2 linked regions of the Xenopus tropicalis genome follow. The protein of the gene in region 2 interacts with the protein of the main gene of each other region in a biochemical or structural test. Links are inferred from orthologs where the notes say so. Each region holds a gene or a part of one and is shown on either strand. Other genes may lie near its edges.

What was found.
Region 1: the proteins of shq1 (region 2) and dkc1 are reported together in a solved structure, tested with the Homo sapiens proteins (2 studies listed by BioGRID, with this or other methods). The link is inferred for Xenopus tropicalis from reciprocal best matches to the Homo sapiens genes SHQ1 and DKC1.

The regions. Positions count from the first base shown.
Region 1 is NC_030684.2:38,923,079-38,926,730, forward strand, and holds part of dkc1 (H/ACA ribonucleoprotein complex subunit DKC1), read left to right. Parts: intron 1-339; coding exon 340-404; intron 405-698; coding exon 699-825; intron 826-1,422; coding exon 1,423-1,553; intron 1,554-1,790; coding exon 1,791-1,934; intron 1,935-2,028; coding exon 2,029-2,149; intron 2,150-2,867; coding exon 2,868-2,986; intron 2,987-3,057; exon of another isoform or gene 3,058-3,136; intron 3,137-3,230; coding exon 3,231-3,334; intron 3,335-3,518; coding exon 3,519-3,558; intron 3,559-3,652.
Region 2 is NC_030680.2:139,959,273-139,963,388, reverse strand, and holds the start of shq1 (protein SHQ1 homolog), read right to left. Parts: upstream 2,843-4,116; 5' UTR 2,676-2,842; intron 1,326-2,675; 5' UTR 1,318-1,325; coding exon 1,175-1,317; intron 1-1,174. UniProt on the Homo sapiens protein: Required for the quantitative accumulation of H/ACA ribonucleoproteins (RNPs), including telomerase, probably through the stabilization of DKC1, from the time of its synthesis until its association with NOP10, NHP2, and NAF1 at the nascent H/ACA RNA.

The DNA.
Region 1 (3,652 bases), on a different chromosome or scaffold from region 2:
TTTTAATAATACAGCAGGACTATGGTTGATTTTTTCTGTAGGTAATGGCTGAACATGTGATGTATAGTTGAAACATAAACCATTGGCACATTTACTGATATAACTGCTTCAGTATAGAGTCAGGTTAGAAGTGCAAACTAAGGGTGACATTTATAGAAGTTTTTGAGACCAAAAACCTAAATTAGATAAATATGAAGGGATATTAAGTAGTGACTCTTAAAATGTCACTAGTAGGGACTGAAGATGGCATCTTACTTTGCGTTGACACCTATTCATGTGTCATTCGCCCTCTGCTGTTCATATTAACTGGCTGCCCCCATTTTGCTCTGTCCCCTCTAGGGAAAGAGTATGTGGGAATTGTACGGTTGCACAATGCGTTGGAGAACGAACTACAACTTTCACGGGTAAGGTAATGGTCTACCTTAAATTGGCTGCCAGACCTATTCCCAAATTATGTCCCAATATATGAGATTTCATGTTTGCCACACAATCAATGCAGCATGAGCACAAGACAAGTTTGAACATCAATTTTCCCCATTACTTTATCTAAAGCAAGATGGTGGCTATAGATTTCTGTTAACTTATGTCTCCTTTTTGCTAGTGGCAAATCAGTAAACAAACCAGCCTCCTAGCAAAGGTGCACTATGCAAGTTTCCTATGTTTAATGCTCGGCCAACTTTTATTCTTACTGTCCTCAGGCTTTGGAGACACTCACTGGTGCATTATTCCAGCGTCCACCTTTAATAGCTGCTGTTAAGAGGCAGTTGCGTGTAAGAACAATCTACGAGAGCAAACTAATAGAATATGACCCTGAACGTCGGCTAGGTGAGTTACTGGTCAGGTTGTCCTCAGACTTTAAATGCTATAAAAGTAGGTATTTCATGTGCGTTTAAGCAGTTAATACAAGGTGTAATGGCTTATAAGGTGTATTATGGTTTGTTAAATTTAAAATGAGATGTTGAAATGCCTTCTGGAGGTGTACTGGGAAGATATACTGTGTTCAGTCTGTATTTGAGGCACCTGTTGTGGGCCATTGAAATTTTAGAATGTATGAACACTATTTTTGCTCTGATACGGATACTTTTGATACTGGTGTGGAATTGCTCAAGGTGTCAAGAGCTATAATATTGCTTATGCTTGCAAAAGCTTTATGTACATGCTTGGGCTATGTAGAATGCAAGGTACATGACTGCTCTGATGTCTAAATACAAAATAGACCATGCCCTGTGCATAAACAGATGATGATATCTTTTTATTTAAAGGCAGCAAAGCCACTTTAACAAATGAAAGGTGGGCTCATGTTCATTGGAACAGCTTTACTGCTTTAGATGGGTATGTTGGTGTTGGTCTTCTGATGTATAAAAGAGTCTAACAAACCTTTTATGTGGTACTAATTCCTTTGTCCCCCTTCCTGCTCTTTAGGTATATTTTGGGTAAGCTGTGAGGCTGGTACATATATCCGGACTCTGTGTGTTCACATTGGCTTGCTGCTGGGGGTTGGAGGTCAAATGCAGGAGCTACGTCGTGTTCGCTCTGGTGTCCTAGGAGAGAAGGTAGGTACCATATCGATAGATAAAATTTTCTAGGTGGCATCACCTGCTGCACCCAAAAGCGTTGAGTTCAGTATGAGTTGTCTGTCTCATACTGGTAATAAGCTTTGGAACATTAATGAGCTTACAGGAAATGAAGAGTAACAGGACTCTCTATCCTGTTGCCAACAGTTCAGTATGAATATCCTAGCTAACTATGACTCCTAAATTGCTTCTCTATATAATGCCTCTGTTTCACAGGATAACCTTGTCACAATGCATGATGTTCTGGACGCGCAGTGGCAGTTTGATAACAATAAGGATGAAAGTTACTTACGCAGAGTCATCTTTCCACTAGAGAAACTTCTAGTGTCTCACAAAAGACTTGTCATGAAGGATAGTGCAGTAAGTACCTTTTTTGTGCATATAGAATTGCTGTTGCAACTTTAGTCTAAAGCTGGGGTCTGAACAAGTCTTATTACCTGCTTTCTCTCAAAAGGTCAATGCTATTTGTTACGGTGCAAAAATCATGCTGCCGGGGCTGCTCAGATATGAGGATGGGATAGAACTAAATCAAGAGATTGTGGTGATAACTACAAAAGGAGAAGCAATCTGTATTGGTAAGTCTTTGGAACTTTATATGGTGGTCACTGACTAGGGCCAGTAACACTGAAAACCACTCTATGCTCAGATTGTCGGTTACAAAGATTTGCAGTTGTATATTGGTAGAGCCACAAATTAGTTTGGCTTGTGTATGTTGACAAATATTAAAATGAGGATATATCTGAAATGGGAAGGGCTTTTTGCCATTCTAAAGAAGTGGTTATTTATATAAACATGTCACATTGAACCTAATGCACTATTTAGATTTAGTGTGTTACCATAATTTTTTTTTTTTTTTTTTTTTTGACTTGTCTTTAGTACTATTCATTCCTGACCAGCCCCAGTGACCAAAGTATAGCTTTCAAAATATCACTTTGGCTGATTACTATTTCTCTCCATATAACTGCCCATGACTAGGAAGACTAGCTTATCTGATCAGGCAGTGTTAATGAGGCTTGAACTCTTGTTGTGAAATGATGACACAGTTTATCCATTCTCTGAGCCTGCAGCCAGCCATTGCAGCTCACAGACTCCTAATGTTGTCTGTGAGTCTCTTCCCCTCTTAGTGTTGGTGATGCTGCGTCCTGCAGTGTGACCTTCACGCAGAGGTGTGTTGGGAGCAAGGGATGTGGCCAAAGGGCAAGACGAGAGAAAACTTACTGATCACTACTGCCTTAAATATCTTTCAAATTACTAGTGTGAAACAATCAGCTGACCTTGTCTTTCTCTCTTCAGCCGTAGCCCTTATGACAACTGCAGTGATATCTACATGTGATCATGGAGTTGTGGCAAAGATTAAACGTGTCATTATGGAGAGGGATACTTATCCACGCAAATGGGGACTTGGTCCTAAAGTAAGTTGACTATTCTCTTCTAATTGCCAAGAACTGGTGGGGTTGGTATTTAGCTGTAGTACTTCTTGCAAGCCACATGATGATATCTTGATAAGTCAGTAGCACAATGTGTGATGTTGACTCCTATCTATCACCCAATAACTGATGGCTTTTTTTTTTTATTCTAAATATTTATTTGACACACCAGCTGCTGCCTTTCAAAATGCTGCATTATTGAAGTTTTTTTTTTTTTTGTTCATTGCAGGCTAGTCAGAAGAAGATGATGATTCAGAAAGGCTTGTTAGACAAGCATGGCAAACCTAATGAGAGCACACCTTCAGGTTGGAAGCAGGAATATGTTGATTACAGGTTTGACTTGTTACTTATCTTTTGCACTGGCTTCCCTTGCTTTTTCATCTTAGAAACTCCTTTATACCATTAGCCAGGAAAGTGTAATCTATATTCTGAGGCTACAGCAATCCGTATTAGAAATGAGCTGACCGTTTTTTGATTAAGCTCGGGTATTTTGTTCTAACTCTTCTTTCATTTGCAGTGCTACACCAAAAATCCAGCAAGCAGCAGATGCTCCAAAGGTAATACTTATAACATTTCTTGTTGCAGGAAGTTATCCCTTACTTGTCCATCCATGGCACTTAGAGGGAGTCATCCTGCTAGATAATACAGCCA
Region 2 (4,116 bases):
AGCTGAAGCAGAGGGATAGAACGGCATGTCCAGGAAGGTATGTCGAAAATATATAGAATAATTATGAGACTATAAGAATTAGTTTATATAGGGAATAATGTATCACCTATTGTAAAATATAAGATTATTATACCGATGTTCCATGACCAGGCACAAAGACCGAGTGTTGAGTGCTTTTCTACAGGTCACTAAACTATGAATTTATGATATCATCATATTTTACAGCAGGGACCAGGTCCAGACTGGAATTCAAAATAGGCCCTTGCATAAAAAGTACCCAGAGGCCCAAACAGCTCCCCACCAGCCCAAAGAAATAGTGACTGTCTATGGCATCTTAGAGCATCCAGAATCCAGAGATTGCCAGTCAAGGGCTGACAGGGGGTACATTTTTTTTTTTTTAATAAACATGTCATGTGACACAAATTACATCATTAAGCACCAATTATAACTGCATCACTAATAACAGCATCACTAAGCTCTGTTTAGTTGGATAAAGTTTACAGAAGAGTTGTGCCTCTTGTGTATTATATAGATCACTCCTTATATGAGGGTTCTGTGGTCCACTGGCTAATACTGTTTAAAATGTTTTGAAGAAGGAACAGCTTCAAATGGTAGTATCTTTCTTTTGCAAAACACATATAAAAAATATGGCCCATGGAACTCAGGGAAGGCTGGGAACCACATCAATAAACCCCATCAACTTTACGTAGCAAAAGCGTCCACCCTATAGCATAGCTTATGCCCCACAGAGAGATTAGTTGCCCATGATAAATCTATGCTACCGTGGGCGACTAATCACCCCATACTGATTGGCTGCACTGGGGGGGGGCATGCCGCCCTAGGCCCGGGGCTTTGTGGCCAACGTGTCGCTTCATTTTTCTGAAGTTGTACGAAGTTACTTCCTGCAGGCAACTTGGTGCAACCTTAAAAAAATGAAGTGATGCGTAGATCTTTCCACCAGCGATTCTCTTTGTTGCCGGTGGAATGGCTTTTTAGGGAGATTAGTTTCCCGTGGTAACAGGGATGTATAACGGGTGACTAATCGCCCTGTTGGACATTAGCCTAAGAGCAGGAAGAGGCCTATGAGTTCCATATTTGCCAGTCTCTTAAGCTGAAAGATCATAGATAAATGCCTGCAGTATAAACAAACCAAAGCATATGAAATATCCCTTACCTCAGGAAATATGGCTTGGCGTAGAATTTGAAGTCATCGCCTTCGATGTAAATATCAATTTCTGAAGCTCTGGCATACGGAACCTTGATAATTATTGTAAGAAAATCTGAATCTTGACTAATGTCAAATGCAGGGGTTATCATGATTTCCACTAGAACAGAAATGATGAAAGTTGCTCAATGTTTGATCCATAACCCAGACAACAAAACCACCAATAATCAAATTGAATGACCAATGTGTGGAAGAAGGATATGTGTATGGAGGAAAATAGAAGGTCTGCCAAACCAATATCAATGGTGCTGGCTATAAAATCCCATTGGGCAAGTATCACATTGGAGCTAGCCATCAAACCACTGCAGCTAATATTACTGGCATAACTAAAGGAGTTCCCTGTCTCCTACCCGACTGGGATATGTGGGATATGGAGGAAAATATAAGGTCTGCCAAACCAATATCAATGGTGCTGGCTATAAAATCCCATTGGGCAAGTATCACATTGGAGCTAGCCATCAAACCACTGCAGCTAATACTACTGGCATAACTCCTACCCGACTGGGATATGTGCACTAACTGTATTGTGCAAGCACCAATTAGGTATGACAGAGGATTGCCAAGGTAACATATCTAGTCATTTTAGTGTGTGTATAGAAGACTGATGGTAGCCAACCCTTTATTTTCCTCGCAGTTTAGTAACTGTAGACAATAGAGGAAATTGTTTTGTTCCATAAAAGGGGAAGTCAACCCTTATTGATCTTTCATTGGATTCCACCTTCCTGCATGTTATAGAGCCTGGGCAGAGGAAGGCCCAGAAGGTGAAGCTAATGGTGGGTAGTTCACTCCAGGAGTGAAAGACAGGCTTAGAGTATCTAGTGAGCAACATGAAGCTCCACCAAGGACAATAGAAGGGTTAAAGTCCTAGTTGTACCACCCTAAGGATAGGGGGAAAAAGTGTCCAGAACTAGTTTGCCTAGGTTCCACTTATAGGACCTCATACTGAGGATTGGACATTTCGGTGTTGACTAAATAAATGTTCAGTTATCGGCCCCTGATAGGGAAAAGCACTGGTTTTATTTGTGAGTATATGCTGAACACTGTAATGTATCATTTGTTTCCATTGTACAAGATATTCTTGCAAATAAAGGAAAAACACTGGCGCCTAATGTATTGATTCAGTCTGAGATGTACAGTTCTGCAACACCACAATGCAGAAAGGCCAATTCCCAGAATTCCACATGGTTTAGGTGTGTGCTAAACCAGTAGTTTTCTGGATCCCTCCACGTAACCATCACCTTACAATATATATATATATTATATATATATATATATATTTATCTCCAGTAACAGCTGGAAGGCCGCCGTATCCTCACATACATTACAGAGCCTTTCTACTAGTCACTGCCGGGGGAGATAGTCCCACAGCCATTAGCTAGCAGTAACCTTATGGGAGTAGTACCGCTCCACTACCAAGTTACACAAATCCCCAGTACAAAGCGCTGCCTCCCTCTCCTCACCTACGATCCGCGATTCTTCTTCAGCACGCTGGTGTCTTCCTAGTTCCGGGTCTACACGTGTTCCAAAAACAGCAGGAAAACGAGCGCTCCCATTGGTGCTGAGATTAAAGCGGGACCTCCCTTTGGCCAATCAAAATCCGCTATTGGCAGACTCGTTCTTGGCTTTGAAGCGGCGTAGAGAAAGGAATGTGGGGATTACGTCACTTTATTTGTGATTGGTCAGGAGTACGAAGGAGGCGGGAAGATGTGTTACCATGCTGATAAGCGCAGGATTGCAGCTTTTAGTGAGGGAGGCAGCAGCGGAACGCGTATGAATATTAGCAGATGCTTTGTGAGTTGCAGTTAAACAACAACAGCTGGTGTTTGGAGATTGTCAGCCAGGCACCTTAAGGTCATAGCTTGCTCGGTAAGTCACTGCACATTAGGTGTCCGTGACTTTTAGATTGAGTACATTGGGGCTATAAATGGGTCCCAAAATATAGTGAAATGTTCTCCTAAACAGTGTGGAACTGGTTAGGGGTTAAAAATCAATTTTACTGATTAATGTTGGGTCCCATAAGGAAGCAGTGTTGGGTCAGAGTACTAGGGGCCCTCCTGGGGTTGCCCCCTTACCCTTTTATAATTGGCCACATATTAAAACCATATTGCTAGTTATCAATTCATTTAGACGTATACTGCATGGCTGCACGTAAATCAGTTCAGTCTGCAGCATGCATCAGTTAATTGCTTCTTAGCTTTGCAGGATGTGGATTCAAGTTGTGGCCAGTATAAAAGGGGTAAGGCAGCAACCCCACCACCAGAGAACCTGACCTTAGGATCCATCCCACACACCTGAGCCTACACCTCTTCCCCTTGCAGTGCCACCCACCTGAGCCTACACCCCTTCCCCTTGCAGTGCCACCCACCTGAGCCTACACCCTTGCAGTGCCACCCACCTGAGCCTACAGCAGTGCCACCCACCTGAGCCTACACCCTGCTGCCTACACCACCTGAGCCTACACCCCTACCTTGCAGTACCCACCTGAGCCTACCCACCTGAGCCACACCAGTGCCCCTTGAGCCCACCTGAGCCACCCACCTGAGCCTACACCCTTGCAGTGCCTGAGCCTACACCCACCTGCAGTGCCACCACCTGAGCCTGCAGTGCCACCACCTGAGCCTACACCTAGTGCAACCTGAGCCTGCAGTGCCACACACCTGAGCCTGCAGCCTACTTGCAGCCCAGTGCCAGAGCCTAGTGCAGTGCCATGTAATAAAAGTGCAAAGTTTGCCCAGGCTTGTTAAACAGACAACCAGTTTCTGATGTGTTCACCAGTAAATGCAACCTGGTGATTGGTTGCTGTCGGTTACTAGACCAGTAGCAAATTTTGCACTCTTTATTGCATTGCACTCTTAAAAACTAATCGACTGCATTGGTTTAATCATGTTAAA